Linked DNA regions of Elephas maximus indicus. The protein of the gene in region 1 purifies or fractionates together with the protein of each later gene. This does not show direct contact. Links are inferred from orthologs where the notes say so. Each region holds a gene or a part of one and is shown in the gene's direction. Other genes may lie near its edges.

Evidence for each region.
Region 2: the proteins of FOXM1 (region 1) and MYBL2 purify together in Homo sapiens (affinity purification with western blotting; 3 studies listed by BioGRID and IntAct, with this or other methods). This does not show direct contact. The link is inferred for Elephas maximus indicus from reciprocal best matches to the Homo sapiens genes FOXM1 and MYBL2.

The regions. Positions count from the first base shown.
Region 1 is NC_064822.1:59,070,032-59,078,150, reverse strand, and holds the start of FOXM1 (forkhead box protein M1), read left to right. Parts: upstream 1-5,077; 5' UTR 5,078-5,310; intron 5,311-5,512; exon of another isoform or gene 5,513-5,651; intron 5,652-7,397; 5' UTR 7,398-7,444; coding exon 7,445-7,946; intron 7,947-8,119. Other genes in the region: RHNO1 (RAD9, HUS1, RAD1-interacting nuclear orphan protein 1), read right to left, coding at 245-412. UniProt on the Homo sapiens protein: Transcription factor regulating the expression of cell cycle genes essential for DNA replication and mitosis. Plays a role in the control of cell proliferation. Also plays a role in DNA break repair, participating in the DNA damage checkpoint response.
Region 2 is NC_064843.1:25,661,274-25,669,333, reverse strand, and holds the start of MYBL2 (myb-related protein B), read left to right. Parts: upstream 1-4,890; 5' UTR 4,891-5,095; coding exon 5,096-5,115; intron 5,116-8,060. UniProt on the Homo sapiens protein: Transcription factor involved in the regulation of cell survival, proliferation, and differentiation. Transactivates the expression of the CLU gene.

The DNA.
Region 1 (8,119 bases):
GAACTCTTTCAGAGGAATGTGAAAGGAACATCTTCAGTTCCAACCAACTTATGTCTCAATTTGAAACGAGAAAAGGAGATGTACCAGAGAAGATGTCTGACGATGGACAAAGAGAGTGTATGGCCTCTTTGTCCCTATCTACCATAAATCTTATTTTTTGGAAGCCCTTGTTCAAGACCAGAAGAGGCGGCATTGTGAGAAGCCTAAGAGAGTAAAAGTCAAAGTAAGGATACCAGGGGCCTACCCAGGATGTGATGGTGTTGTGGTCAATGGGCTTGCTGGGCACCTGTCTAGTGTGACTGATGGGAAGCTGTGGAGATCCACAGTGGTGTTTGGGGCCCTCCAGTGGTTGTTGGTGGAATAGCAGTGGGGCTTTCCGAGAATGCTGGCTGCGTTTTTTTCTGGGCGGCATCAATAGGTGAATGAAGAGCAGTAAGTAACCACATGATGCTGGCTGCAATCAGGTACTGGGACACACTCCAATTCCAGCCAATGCCTGCAGAGAAGAAACAAAAGCCGGGAGGAAAATAACTCAGATGATGCCCCAGCTCTGCCAGCTAATTTTACTATAAACTACTACCCGCACCTGAAGATTGTGGGGAGCATAGCTTCCTACACCTACCCCACCAAGCAAAAACACAGTAGTTCCTATTCAACAACATTCATCCCGTGAACATTTACTAAGCATGTGTTAAACACCATGCTGGGTAGTGAGAATTAAAAGATGAATAACCATTGGTTTGACAGTGCGGACCACTCATAAGGATACAAGGGTCTGATCGTTGCTATCTTCAAGAAGCTGAGTCTAGTGGGGGAGACCAAAAATTACAGTACAAAATGAGAAGAATGTTTCCACTCTCTTCAGGGGAGGCCTCCAGGAGAGGGAGATACCTGGCCTAGGCATGGAAAGAAGAAGCAAAGAAGGGCACTCCTGCTGAGGAACAGCGTATACAAGGGCACACGGACAGGAGGTATTGTGAATTAAGGGAATCACAAAATCAATATAGGTGGACACAGGGTATAAGGAGATGAATGGCAAGAATTGAAGCTAGACATGGAGTCAGAGATCAGAAAAATAAATTGTGCTATATGAGCTTGGACTTTAGCCTGAGAAGTCATTGAAAATTTTCAAGCAGAACGGTATGATTACATGTGGCTTTTTTTTTTCTAATTTAACTTTTTACCCCAAATAGTTTTAAACATACACAAAAGTAAACTGAATAATATAATGAGCCCCCACGTACCATCAGCCAGCTCCAAAATCCATCAACGCATGACCAGTCCTGACCCATCCACACTCCTATCCATTTTCTCCACCCCTTCATTATTTTGAGGCAAATACAATATTCCCAGTCATCCTATCGTTCCCATAAATGTAATTAAAATATATATATAAATTCCTTAATATCATCAAATAGCCAGTTTTCAAATTTTCAATTGTCTTAAAAATGCCATATTTGTGTTTTTTGTTTGTTTTTGTCTTTTAGACAGATCATCCTGGCTACAATATGAAAGGAGAGTATCTTAGTCACCTAGTACTGCCATAACAGAAATACCACAAGGGGATGGCTTTAACAAAGAGAAATTTATTTCCTCACAGTATAGTAGGCTAACAGTCCAAATTCAAGGTATCAGCTCCAGGGAAAGGCTTTCTCTTTCTTTCTCTGTGGGCTCTGGAAGAAGGTCCTTGTCTTCAATCTTCCCATGGTCGAGGAGCTTCTCCGGTGCAGGGATCCCAGATCCAATGGATGTGCTCTGCTCCTGGTGCTGCTTTCTTGGTGGTATGAGGTCCCCAACTCTCTGCTTGCTTCCCTTTCCTTTCATCTCTTGAGAGATAAACGGTGGTGCAGGCCACACCCCAGGGAAACTCCCTTTACCTTGGATCAGGAAGGTGACCTGAGTAAGGGTGGTGTTACAAATCTCACCCTAATCCTCTCAACATAAAATTATAATCACAAAATGGAGGACAACCACATAATACTGGGAATCATGGCCTAACCAAGTTGACAGAGAGGAAGAGTACTCTGGAGATAAGGGGATCAGTTAGGAGGTTACTGTGTCATCCAGGAGAGAAGTGATGAGGATATGAACCTGAGCTCTGTCAGTAGAGGTGGGAGGCTGGAGACAGATAAGGCCAACAGGACCAGAAAGTAATAAAAAGTCACACAACAGAGCAGATTGTTTCCACTATACATTCATGAGTCAGAAAATTAACATGATCTGATTTATATCACTAGGCAGTAGAGAATCAGGGGAAGAAGGAGAAAAAAAGGACAAAGTCCCCACCTACCCTCAAGGAACTAACATTTCAGGGAGAGCACAAATAATGAACACATCCATTTGTTCATTCATTCATTCAACAAACACTTACGAATGCCTACTATATGCCAGGCACTGTTCCAGGTACTGGAAATATATACCAGAGAACAGTATAAAATCCCTGCCCACATGGTGCTTTAAATCTGAGAGCAATCAGTTAACTCAACTCTTCATTCTGTTTGATTTTTTCAGTGGAAAGTGATAAGCAGTAGGAGAAAAATCAAACAGGATAAGGGGTTGAGCTGACTGAGTGCTATTTTAGATCAGGTTGTCAGGGAAGGCCTATCTGAAGAGGTAGCATTTGAACAAAGTCCTGAATGAAAAAAGAACAAGCAAGCAATGGAAAGATATGAATGAAGAATGCTGAACTCTGAGAGAATAGTAAATGCAAAGACCCTGAAGTGGGACTATTTCTGACCTGTTCAAGAAACAGTAAGGTCAGGGTCACTGAACTCAAGAGTAGTTAAAAGATGAGGTAGTAGAAAGGCAGGAACCAGTTCATGTGACACAGGGCTTTGTAGGCTAGGATTAGATTTTATTCTTAGTGTGATAGGAAGTCACTGAAAGGCCCTGGACAGGAAGTGACATAAGCTGATTCAGAGTGTCAAAAGATAACTCCAGGTACTTTGCGAGGAAAGCCTGGTTGGGAAGAGAGGGGTGGAGAAAGGAAGCAGGGAGTCCAGTTAGGCTACTGCAGGAGTCCAATGGAGACAGAGATAATGGTAGCAATGGCCAAGGTTAAAGGTTTGAAATTAATGACTTGCTGAAATTCACCATCAAATGGGCCTACTGCCTTGCCCAGCAATCCTACTATGATTCCCTGATCAACTCTCCACAAAGATTATCTTAAGTTTTTTCCACTTGCTAAGACTTCTGAACTCCTCTTCTCTCAACAGATGACCTTACGTCCTACTTCACAAAGAATACAGAAGCCACCAAAGGAAATACTCTCATTTTCTAGAAATCAACCACACAAACCTATGCATAGCTGCATCCATCCTCTTTCTCTCAGCTGTAGAGGTGCTGTCAGTCCCTTCTGCAGTCTAAGGCCTTTCCCTCCACCTATGCTTTGGCACCCTTCTCACTCATACACTTTTCTTGTGCAATCTCACTCGCTCATATTTTAATTTCTGCCTACTGTACACATTCAGTTTAGAATTCTCTAAGCTCAGGACCCATATACCCATTGTCTACTTGACAGCAACTAGGTGCCTCAAATGTACCTGAAACTCAACATGTTTAAAACTGAACTCATCATCACCTCCCACCTCCAGGGCCCTGTCTCAGCAAATAGTACATGCTTCATCCAGTTATGCAGCCAGAAACCTGCCACTTCCCTCTCCCCGCCTCCTTCATCCAACCCAGCACCAAGTCCTGTCAATTTTACCTCTTAAATTTGTCTTCAATAATCGTCTCTTTCTCCCCCTGTCTTCACCCCTTCCCCCCTTCTTCAAGCTCCAACCAGTTCTCCCATGGAGTATCACGACAGCCTAACTGGTCTATCCTAATCCACTTAAAAATGTGCAATTTAAAAAATGGAAGTTTGACCATGACTCACTGATGCTTAAAACTTGATTGGCTTTCTTGAGTTTTTGGATAAGGACACAACTCAGTATGGCTAGGCTCTGCTTTCTCTTGCTCCAGCTTCATCTCACACCACGCTTCACTCAGGTCTGTTAGCTCGAACTTCTTAAACAAACAAACAAACCCATTGCCACTGAGTCAATTCCAACTCGTAGCAATCCTACGAACTCCTTAGATTACAGATATTTTTCCGACTTCATACTCACCATGTGTCCTTCACACTCACAGCCTTTGCACACTTCATTCTCTCCCTCTACTTAGAGGGCTTCCCTCCCTTTTTTGCACAAAGGCATCAGATCTCACATCAAGCTTCAATTCATCAGAAAACCCTTTCTTGACCTACATAACTCAAGACCTCATTACAGATACTCAAAGTATCATTTACCTCTACCACTTCACAGCTATAATTCTACATTTGATGATGTTTGTGATGCCAGCCCCTTTCCCCAGTTAGTCTGGTAAGCCCATGAGACAGAAAACTGTCTACCATTGTATTCCCAGGGCCTATCACACTGCCTGGCACATAGTAGGTGCTCAGCAAACATTTGTTGAGTAAGTGAATAAAGCACTTTAGTCCATTATATCAAAAAGCTTGGCTGGCAGTGGAGACAAACAGGAGACAGGTCAGTAGTTGAAGATTTAGAGTTGAGGGAGAATTTATTTGTGTGTTTTAAGATGCAAGACACTTGGACAAGGTTATGTGCTACCCTTGAAGAACTCTCAGTCTAGTTGGGGGTACCAGAGGATCGGTAATCGGAGGTGAATGGACTACAATTTCCCCCCATTAGGATATCAGTTAAAACAGACCTTTAAAGAGGGTATGGAAATCCTGAGAGGGGTAGCGTGGAGGGTGGGAAAGCGGCAGAAGCAGGCCGAGAGGGGCCGTGTCCCAGTCACCACCATCTTCCCGCGTCCCCTCACAGTCTCTCCGCTCCCCCCACCCCAACCGCAGGGCCCCCCTCTCGCTCCTTCCCGCTCCCACCGCCCCCTCTGAGCCCACAGGAGCCTTCTCCCTTCGGGCCGGTCCCGGGCTTCTCTTACCCGCCCGGCAGGGTCAGGGCCGCGTCTCCTCTCAGGTCTCCACGGCTTCGAGCCCGGAACTCGGAGACAAGGGCCGGCGCCGATTGGCGACGCCCCGTCACGTGACCGCAACGCTCCGCCGGCGCCAATTTCAAACAGGGGAACAAACTGAAAGCTCCGGTGCCGGACCCCACCCCCGGCCCCTGGCCCGGGACCCCCTCCCCTCCCGGGATCCCCCGGGATTCCCCACCCCTCCCGCACCGTCGGGGACCTGGCCGGCCTGGCGCGAGTCCCTATCCGGGACCCTGGCTCGGCCCCCAGATTGGAGGAGCCCGGAGTCCGCCCTAGGAGCCTCACCCCAGCAGCGGCGGAGGCTGCAGTCGGGAGGTGAGCTGGGCAGAGGAATGGAGGCTGAGGCCGGGCCTGGGCAGAGGCAGGGAGCAAGGTCTCTGGCACCGCTTCCGTAAGTCCTCCGGGCGAGGAAGTCAGGGAGTCTAGCAATAGGGTGCGGGACAGGAGTGGAGGTTTGGGACCACACGGGGAAGGAGGTCTGAGTAAGGGTGCAAATTTTTTCTGCATCCAACCTCTGGTCTCGGCCTTCTCACTTATTTCTCTAAGCACCACTTGGCTTTTACTGGAAGTGTGACCTCTGTACCCTGCATCAGGAGGGCTGAGGTGGCCTACCAAGTGTGAATCGTGGCTGAACTGAAGACTGAGCTTATTCTCCAGTAAGTGAAAGATCAACCCACACACACTCCCCTGCTCTCAGGCGCTCTCACCACTAGGCAACACTGCCTCCACCCTACTCTTACAGGGCCCTTCTCCTGGTTGTTGAGAATCTAGCAAGGTTTCCCTGGTCAGGATGGGGTTACTCTGGAAGTCACCGGGCTAGAAAGTGTTGTTGGCAATACTAGGAAGAGGCTTGTCAGGCTAGAAAGTGTTGTTGGCAATACTAGGAAGAGGCTTGTCAGGGAGTAGAAGAGAAAATTAAGACTTAGACCAGGAAGAAGATATTTTGGAGGAAGGGGAAGATAATAGCTACTGGCTGATGGGAGGAAGGAGGGGAGGAGGCCAGGAGAGATATGAGGTGGAAGTAAAACTGAGATTTGAAGGTAAAGGAAACCTAGATATATAGGAAGGGGAAGAGGCAAAGTGGGAAAGGCCTGTGAATTCTAAGCAGATGGCACCAAAAAAGCAGATGGCAAATGTCATACAAATGTGTCAATCATTTTTCGGGAGATAGCAGATGTCCTAAAAGAGACAGCCAATTTCCCTGTCTCTCAAAGTACCTCTAAATAGAATTACACAATTTTGCATAAACTGGCAGAGTATTTCATGTAGCTATTAAAAATTAACAAAGCACAATTTTTCTCCCCAAGAGAAAAACTACCCTCCTCAGCATTACAAAGCTCCCTTAGCATATTGGTGATAGTCCATTCTAGGAATCAGGAGATAAGGTTTATCCTCTTTGTTCTGGAAGAGAAATTAATACAGTAACATGCTTAGAAATCTAAAATAAAGATAAGCACATGCAAGTACTAATACTGTCACTGCGTAAGTATTTTGTAAACTGAAAGAAAAATACTCTTTTTATTAATGCAACCAAAAACCAAACCCATTACCATCGAGTCTTTTCCAACTCATAGCAACCCTATAGAGCAGAGTGGAACTGCCCTGCCCCATAGAGTTTCCAAGGAGCACCTGGTGAATTCAAACTGCTGACCTTTTGGTTAGCATCTGTAGCTCTTAACCACTACGCCACAGGGTTCCCTTATTAATGCAAGGATAATGATAATGTAGCCTGTAAAATGAATGGCACCCGCTAGAGTTGTGCAGTGCACAATCTGCACAACTTCACCATGGCCCTTAAATAGAGCAAGGGTTGCCTGCAAGCTTTTTATCTGAGCCCTTGTGAACTAGGAGATGATTTCTCCAGTGCTACGGCAATAGTGCAATATGCCTCTCTCCCCTGATTCTGTGGGCACTGATCCTATTTTTTACAGAGTAGAATTACATAAAAATATAAAGGCTCTATCCTAGAATGGATTATGGCATTAGAGTTTTGTTGGGACTATATATCACCATATGCCTTCCTATTCCAGCATCTCCCATCCCTGTCCCTCCAGTCATAGCAAGTAATGTGTATTATAATTTCTACATTTTGTGGCTATCTCACTTGTTTCTGTAGCCAAGCATTCTTAAGCTTCCAGCAGGAAGTCTTTGGCTGTCTTGACCCAAATCCAATCCAGTTCCACTTTCCCCCTTTGAATTGCTTCTGTTTGCTTCAGTTTTACCTTTCTTTAGTCAGTGGATTTCATCTTAGTATTGGAGGTAAGCCTCTACAAAGGTCAGGGAGCATTACCTGGGCCCTTAGGCTCATACTTCTGGCCATAAAAATAGGAATGCCTCTCTAAGAGAAGCTCCTTCTCAGCCTAACAAATCTCTGATATCCTGCTCCTCCTTATACTTTCCAGGGTCCATGCTTGTGATTCTCAATGGAGAGTGAAAGCACAGATTCATAATGAAAACCAGCCCCCGTCGGCCACTGATTCTCAAAAGACGGAGGCTGCCCCTTCCTGTTCAAAATGCCCCAGGTGAAACATCAGAGGAGCAACCTAAGCAGTCCCCTGCCCAACAGGAGCCTGGCCAAGCACAGGCCTCCAAGGAGGTGGCAGAGTCTAGCTCTTGCAAGTTTCCAGCTGGAATCAAGATTATTAACCACCCTACCATGCCTAACACCCAAGTGGTGGCCATCCCCAACAATGCCAATATCCAGAGCATCATCACAGCACTGACCGCCAAAGGAAAAGAAAGTGGCAGCAGTGGGCCCAACAAGTTCATCCTCATCAGCTGTGGGGGAGCCCCCACTCACCCTCCAGGACCCCAGCCTGTAACCCAAGCCAGCTGTGATTCAAAGAGGACAGAAGTGATAACCGAAACCCTGGGACCAAAGCCTACAGCTAGGGATGTGAATCTTCCTAGACCTCCTGGAGCCCTTCCGGGGCAGCGATGGGAGAGCTGTGGTATGTGATCTGCAAGGCAAAGGGGTGAGGAGCCCAGCCTTTCTTCTCTGGTGGCAAGGTCTGCAGTCAGTCGTATTGATGCTTATAACAGACAGGTGTGCAGCCTGAACCAAGTTTCCTCACCCAGTAGCTTTGACCATATCCTCTGGGCACCATTGAAAGCATTGTGATTA
Region 2 (8,060 bases), on another chromosome or scaffold:
GAAGTGCCATTCTCCAGGTTGTCAAATTCCTAAGTTATCCAGCTCTGAAGAACCTTTAGTGACCCCCCTTGGGTGGGTACCCATAGGTCCTGCAGTTTATCCTCACCTTTATTGAGCTAATTTTCTGCTTACACCTTGTCTCCTTTACTAGCTGGTGAACTTCTGGAAAGTATGGGCGGTTGGATTTTCTCAGTATGCTCAGCCCCCAGCTGCAGCCCAGCCTCAACCATTTTAGCATATTTTTACAAACTATTCTCCAAGTTTACATTTCAATTGTGGGTGCTTAGTGTTTTAAGTGTTCAGCTACCGGCCCACTAGCTGTGTGATCCTCACAACTTAATATCATCATGCCTCAGTTTTCTTTAAAATGGGGAAAAAATGAAAAAATAGTGTTTTGGAAACCCTGGTTGCCTAATGGTTAAAAGCTACAGCTGCTAACTAAAAGGTTGGCAGTTCGAATCCACGAGATGCTGCTTGGGAACCCTATGGGGCAGTTCTACTCTCTGTCCCTTAGAGTTGCTATGAGTTGGAATCGACTCATCGGCAACAGGTTAATGGGTAATGGTACCTGCCTCACATTGTGGTGAAGATTAAATGCAAAATGGATGTAAACCTCTTAGTGTGGTGACTGGCAGACTCATGGAGTGTCCCCCAGTAAAATGAGGTATTATTTTATGACCTGAATACTTTATTGGTCCTTTTCTCAAACTCAAATGTAAGTGCTTTGCAAATAGTTATTCACATAAACCTCAATCTTTTCAGAAGTAAATGGGGGCATTTTCTCCCTAGAGCTCTGATTCCTTGAATCAGGTAATTGAATTGCTTTCCTTCCTTTGGAATCCACTCTTTTGTACAAAGTGCCACATTTCCTGTCCTGGTCCTTGGCCTCTCATGCCAGTGCCCACTTGGCTTCTGTGAGTCCATCCACTATACTGATCCCCCAAGGTGGAGGGTGTAATGGTTAAGGTTGTGTGTCAACCTGGCTAGACCATGATTCTCAGTGGTTTGGCAGTTATGTAATGATGTAGTTATCCTCCATTTTGTGATATAATGTAATTATCTTCCTGATGTGATCTGATGTGATCAGCCAGTGAGTTGTAAGGGAAGTTTCTTTGGGGGTGTGGCCTGCATCCTGGAGAAGGTCACCGGCTTTTGCTTCACTTTGGGTCCTGCATCTGGCACATCATCATCTGACCTCTGGTTCTTGGGACTTGAGCCGGTGGCCTGCTGTATTGCCTGCCAACCTTAGGATTCATCAGCCTCTGCAGCCCCTGAGCCAGCAGTCTGCTACCTGATCTGCTGATCTTGGGTTCCTCAGCCCCTGCAGCTACGTGAGTCCGTAGAAGCTTCCAATCTGACGCCTGACCCACGGACTTGGGACTTCCCAGCCTCTACAACTGCATAAGCCATTTCCTTGAGATAAATCTCTCTTTCTCTCTCTCTACATATATGTATATACATACATACATACATATATACTTCACTAGTTTGCTTCTCTAGAGAACCCAGCCTAAGACAGGGGGTTCAGAAGTATCCTGAAAATCATGCCTTTGTTTCAAAATCTCTCCTGATGTCCCATATCTTACAAGATACAGTTCAAACTCTACCATTCTAAATCCTCTCAGTTCTGGCCTGTGTCTTCCCAACTCTCCAGCCCAAATGTTAGCTTGATAACATTTCATTCATTCATTTTCTTGAAAATGTGTAAAACTCCTTTCTTGAGTACCTGCCAGGGGCCAAGCATTATGGTAAAGATCTGAAACTAAAAATACGAATGCGTGTTGCCCCTGTTCAAAACAGCAATAAAATTATGGGCGGAGGAAGTGCGATGGGTGGACAAAGATGAGAATGCTTAGTAGTAGAGAGGGGATGAACCCAGGCTGAAGGGCCATGTGATACCACTTATCATTTACTTGTTATCAATCAGTGTTTATTTTGTGTACTGCCTGGTGCTGGGCCTGAGCATTTAAAAGTACATTTAATCCTTGACTTCCCAACATGGGCAAGCTCTGGGTCTGGAGCCCAGGGTGGGGCAGATTGAGCCTCCAGGGGCACTGGGGAAAGATCAAATGGCTGAAGGCTCCCTGTCCAATAAGGGACTGTCCAGGAAAAGCTGCAGTCTGTTATCAGTCCCTGGCCCAGCCACCACTCCCAGGTGTGGCTGCACCCAGAACACTGGGAGTCCTCTCTCCAGGGAGTGTCTGTTGGTACAATGATAACTGGAGAGGACAGACTTGTGGAGATCACCAGATTCCATCTGGCATCAGGTGATCTCTCTGCTGCCTGACTCCCAGCACTGACTGCAGGCTCTTCAGCTCCTATGTACTAGTCAAGTGGCCCCAATTGCTTGTTCCAGGTTGACTCTGCAACTGCTCCCTGCCTCTTGCCTTGGGCAAATACCTTGTGGGAGCTGTCAGGTCCTGGCCCTCCCTGTCCATGTGAGAATGTGTGCTGTGTGCAAAAGGGCTTCCTGGACCTCAAAGGACAAGTGTGAGGGTAGCTGAAAAATCCTATTAATAATAATAACAGAAGTAACATACCAAAACCGCCACCATCCAGTTGATTCCAAGTCAATAGTGACCCTATAGGACAGAGTAGAACTGCCTTATAGGGCTTCCAAGGAACGGCTGGTAGATTTGAACTGCTGACCTTTTGGTTAGTAGCTGTAGCCCTTAACCACTGCACCACCAGGGCTCCAGAAGTAACACAAACAAACAAAAAAAACCCAGTTGCCTTTGAGTGGATTCCGACTCATAGTGACCCTATAGGACAGAGTAGAACTGTCCCATACAGCTTCCAAGGAGTACCTGGTGGGTTCAAACTACTGACCTTTTGGTTAGCAGCTATGGCTCTTAGCCACTACGCCACCAGGGTTTCCAGAAGTAACAGTACTTATTATATGTCAAGGACTGTTCTCAGTGATTTATGCATATTCATTTATTTAATCCTGTAATAACCCTACAAAGTAGGTACCAGTGTAGTGATTAAGAGCATAGACTCTAGAGCTACATAGCCTATGTTTGAATCTCTGCTCTTCCATTTGCTAGCTGTGTGACCTTCAGGAAGTTTGTGCCTCAGTTTCCCCATATTCCAAAAGGTGACGATATTAATATTTACCTCATAGAGTTGTAATGATTAAATGAGTTAATATTTACAAAGCACACAGAACACTAGGTGGTACATCCTATAGAACTATCTAAATTTTTTGATAAATCCTGTTTTTATAGATGAGGAAACAGAGGCACAGAAGAGTTAAGTAATTTGGTAAATACACCTAGTAAGTAGTAGAGCTCCAGGAACTGGTAGAGGGCCTACAAAAAAAGAGGAAGACTCCCAATGAGATGGATTGACACAGTGACTGCAACAGTGGGCTCAAGCATAACAACAATTGGGAGGATGGCACAGGCCTGGGCAGTGTTTCCTTCTGTTGTACATGGGGTCGCTATGAGTCGGAGCTGACTCAATGGCACCTAACAACGAGAAGCAGTGGAGCTGGGATTCAAACCTTAGGCAGTCTAGCTGTAGAGCTTACACTCATAAATGTTACGGTGTAGCAATGAAGAGGGGATACCCAAATAAATTACTTTATGAATTAAGTACTATGAAAGCTTCTAGTACTTAATATGTTTGGAAACCCTGGTGGCGTAGTGGTTAAGTGCTATGGCTGCTACCCAAAAGGTCATCAGTTCGAGTCCACCAGGTACTCCTTGGAAACTCTGAGGGGCAGTTCTACTCAGTTCTATAGGGTCGCTATGAATCGGAATCGACTCGCCGGGAACGGGTTTGGTTTTTGGTTTTAGTACTTAACATCCTTCTGCTGTGGTAAATGAAGTTTGCATCGGTTGGCTAGACTGTCCCCAGGTGGCCAGCAGTTTCTGGATGTGGGATCTGTGGCATAAGTAGGGACTGAGGCTGGGATTCAGCCAGGTCTCCCCAAGCTCCTGCCTCATAGTTGTTTCACCTTCATCTCAGCACATCTCCCAGGAAGCCCAGCGTGGGCATGATAAGAAGTAGGTTCTTGGTAAGCGTCAACTTAAAATGGAAAATCCTTGCTAAGCCTCTCGGAGTTTAAGCACTTCGTAAATAGAATTCAACTCAACAGACATACCTGGGACCTCCTATGCTAGGCCTTGTCTGGGCTCTAGGGATACTGGGGTGGATTCAGAGGCCTTTTGGACTCCAAGATGCTCAAAGTTTAAAGGAGGAAATGCACAAGTCAACAGCTGGTTATGGACAGCCGACTTCAAGGATAAGTAAGAATTAGGTGGGAGGGGTAATAGTGCAAGCAAAGGCAAGGAGGCAGGAAACTTCTTTCAGCGGGGGTGGGGTGGGGTGGGTGATGATTCAGGCAGAGGCTATGAGCCTGATTGTGTAGGAAGGAATTTATCCCGAGGGAGAGAAGAAAGGGTCTTAAGTTCAGGAGAGACTAAGTGAAGTTTGTATTTCAGAAGTGTCACTCGGGCCGCCAATTCGAGGCTGCAGAGAAAGCAGGAAGGTACAGGTAGGATTAAGGGGGCCATTTTAGGGCGGGGCTGTAGCGACCCGGAGAAGCGAGGCTTCGACTAGCCCTGGGGTTTTTGCACAGGTGGTTTTCCCAGCCTGACTTTTCCATCCTTGCCCCTCACTCCTTTTTGACAGTCCTTGCTGTGTGGGCCGTCCCAGACCAATACTTGACTTGAACCCGCTCAGTCATATGGTGCTCACAAGTCCCATCTCCTAAGTCGCCACCGCGGCCCCTGTCATCATGGAACCTCTGGGCCTGTGCAGCGCCAGCCCCGCCCCCGCTGGCCCCGCCCAGGCCCCACACAGGCCCCGCCCAGGCCCCGCCCCTGCGCACGTCTGCCCGCCCGCGCGCCAGGCCCGGGAGGCGCCGACGCGCTTGGCGCGAGATAGGAAAGTGCTTCTGTGCGCGCCGGCCGCGGCCGTAGCTCCAGCGCGCGGACGGCGGAACCTGAGGACACGCTGACCGAACCTAGCGCGGCCCGGGGCCCGGAGCGGCCGGAGCAGCTAGTGTCCTGGCCCCGGCCTCGGCCCGGCTGCGGCTCCGGCTCCGGGCTCAGCTGGCGAGCCGGCGGGCGCAGCGCGACTTGGGGGGATGTCTCGGCGGACGCGCGGGTGAGCGGAGCTGGGTGGGCTGAGGGCCCTTCCTACCCCCTTTCCACCCCCACCGCCACCCACACCTCGTTCCACTCCACCTCGCCGTGGCCCCTTCGCGCGGGGCGTCTGGGGGGTTCCTCAGGAAATGCTGTGTCCTGGGCGGCCCGAGGCAGGGGCGCGCGCATAAAGCCATGGGTCCCTTGGGACCCCTCGCTCCGCTCCCCTGGCCTGCTCGGTGTCTGAGCCGGGGCGGGCGGGTCTCCCGGGGCCCGGGCCAGGCCCTGCATGATGTCATTTTGTCTCCCGCCTAATTGCGGTGTGGGGGTGGGACGGCCGGTGTCAGCTGGAAGGGCCTTTACAGGGGGAGGGAGGTGCCCCCCGGGGAGGGAAAATGTCTCCCCAACTCACGACGAGTAGGAGGCCAAAGCCTGAAAGACACTTGTCGTTCAAGCCTCAGTTTTGGTTCAGACTTCCCCCTTGGGCCTTTTCCCCCAACATTCGGGGAAGCACAGCACTTCAAGCCCTCTAAGCCCCCTCCCTCCGTCTGAGAAGGGTGCTGGGGAGGGGGCTCTTTTGTCTCCCCAGCCTGGGCTCTGTGCCCCAGCTTGGTTTAGTTTTGGAGAGCTCTCTTTGTGTTCTACCCTAGGAGTTTTGGAGCTGAAATTGAAGGTGGGGGAAAGAGAGACTGAGGTGTATGTATCAAGACTGCTCTGTGCCACTGGCCCCTGGGGCAAAGTCAGGGGCTGTGGTCTCCATTTTACTTAGTCCCCAGAGAATTAAGTGGCAGAGTCGATCCTGGAGCCAAGTCTGTGGGCCCCAGTGCCCCTTCATTTGGGGCCTGAGCTCTGGGAGTCATGGAGAACAGTGGGGTCCTGCCCTCTTCCCTCCCTGGATACCAGCAGCCCAGATAACCCCAGGCCCCTCTTCAGATGGTGGTGTTTGCCTTCTCAGGCCGAAGATGTAGACCTGTGACTCCATAACTGCCAGCTTTCCCGAGTCCTTCTCAATGCAGAAGTATGCTCAGGTTTGGTCCTCAGGGCCCGTAGTCCTGCCACAGGGACTGTCTTCCTCAGGCCAGTTTACCAGGGCAGCTCAGGTCCCTTGGAAGTGTTACTCCAGTGATGGCTGCCCCCACATGATGTCCAGGTCCTCTGATCCCCAGGTTTTCCACCAGTTCTCCCCTGGGGCTAAGTGGAGGGACCCCTCCCATGTTAGGGATGGGGCCTGTACCCTGGAACCCCAAACCCTCAACTTATTTCTTGGCCACTCACTGTAACTCTCCTCTGCCCCAGTGTCCCAGTTCCTGCTCAGCCTCTGACTCACCCTGGCCCTGGAGCAGAGCCCAGCACATTGAAGGGCAAAAGAAAGGGTGTGTTGCAGGGAAAGCAGTTGCCACCATTAACTTGGCCTCTGCTTTTTTAGCTGGGATTTACAGGTGAGGACTTAAAGGTGAGGACTTAAAGGTGCAGAGTTGAGGTCCTGGGCCTAGCTGTGTGGACGTGGAAAGTGAACCCTGTGAGCCTCAGTTTCCACACCTATTAAATGGGGATAATGACAGTGCCTGGGGAGTAGATGGCCAGCACTATGTGGATGATGGATATACCTCACTAGGTTCTCCCAGCTGTCTGAGATGTCCGCATTTAACAGAGCCTTGACACACCAGAAGAGTGTCCACACAGGCACCCTTTTCTCCCTGAAGACACGTTGGCTGAGCTTCTGTTAGAAGTAGATGTTTCTGTCAGTGAGGAGTCTGAGGGCAGTTGGGCTTTTTTTGTCCTGTATGTATTTTTTTAATTATGGAAAATATGTATGTAAGAAAACATTTGTCATTTCAACATTTTTTTAGGTACAATTCAGTGACGTTAATTACATTCGTCATGTTGTTTAACCATCACCATTATCCGTTCCCAAATTTTTCGAACACTTTCAGCAGAAGCTTAGCGTCCCCTAAGTGATGAGTCTGGGGCAGTTCATTTTAAAGCCAGCGTCATTCTGTTACAGTGTCTTGTAGATGTATTGCCTCCTACTTTGCAGTAGAGGAGCCCTGGTGGCACAACAGTTAAAGTGCTCGGCTGCTACCCCAAAGGTTGGCAGTTTGAACCTGCCCAGTAGCTTCAAGGGAGAAAGAAGTGGCAATCTCCTGTAAAAGTTGTTGTGTGCTGTCAATTCTGGCTTGTAGCGACCCTTAGGACAGAGAACTGCCCCCTAAGGTTTCTAAGACTGTAAAGTTTACAGAAGCCAACTGCTACATCTTTCTCCTGAGGAGCAGTTACTGGGTTCGATATGTAAAAACCCTCTGCTGTCCAGTCAATTCTGACTCATAGTGACCCTATAGGACAGAGTAGAACTGCCCCGTAGAGTTTCCAAGGAGTGCCTGGCAGATTTGAACTGCCGACCTCTTGGTTAGCAGCCGTAGCACTTAACCATTATGCCACCAGGGTTTCCGAGGGTTCGATATGTAGTATATATTATTTTGTGCCTGGCTTCTCCTGTCAACATACGTATTTTAATGTGATAGTCCACCATGTCATGTAATTGTGGTATAAAACTCCTTTGAAGAAAATGCTACTAGTTAATTTTTCATTTTATTTCTATAGACATGTGGTTTTCAGTTTTATGCGCTTCAAAAAACAAAACTGGTCTATAGAGAAAGAAGGTCAATTAATGGTTGCCAAGTGCATGGGCTTCTTAAGTGCATGGGGGGAATAGATTTATTTATTGGGGAGTGACAGTTAAGGGGTACAGAATTTGTGGGGTGATGAAGATGTTCTAAAATTGACTACATGATGGTTGCATCACTCTGAATTTACTAAAAGACCTTGAATGGTACAAATTAATTGGGTGAAAACAGCCGACCTTTGGGGCAGTAGCCTAACACTTAACCACAGCACTACCAGGGCTCCTTTACAGCCTAGAAAACCCTATGGGGCAGTTCTACTCTGTCACATGGGGTTACCGTGAGT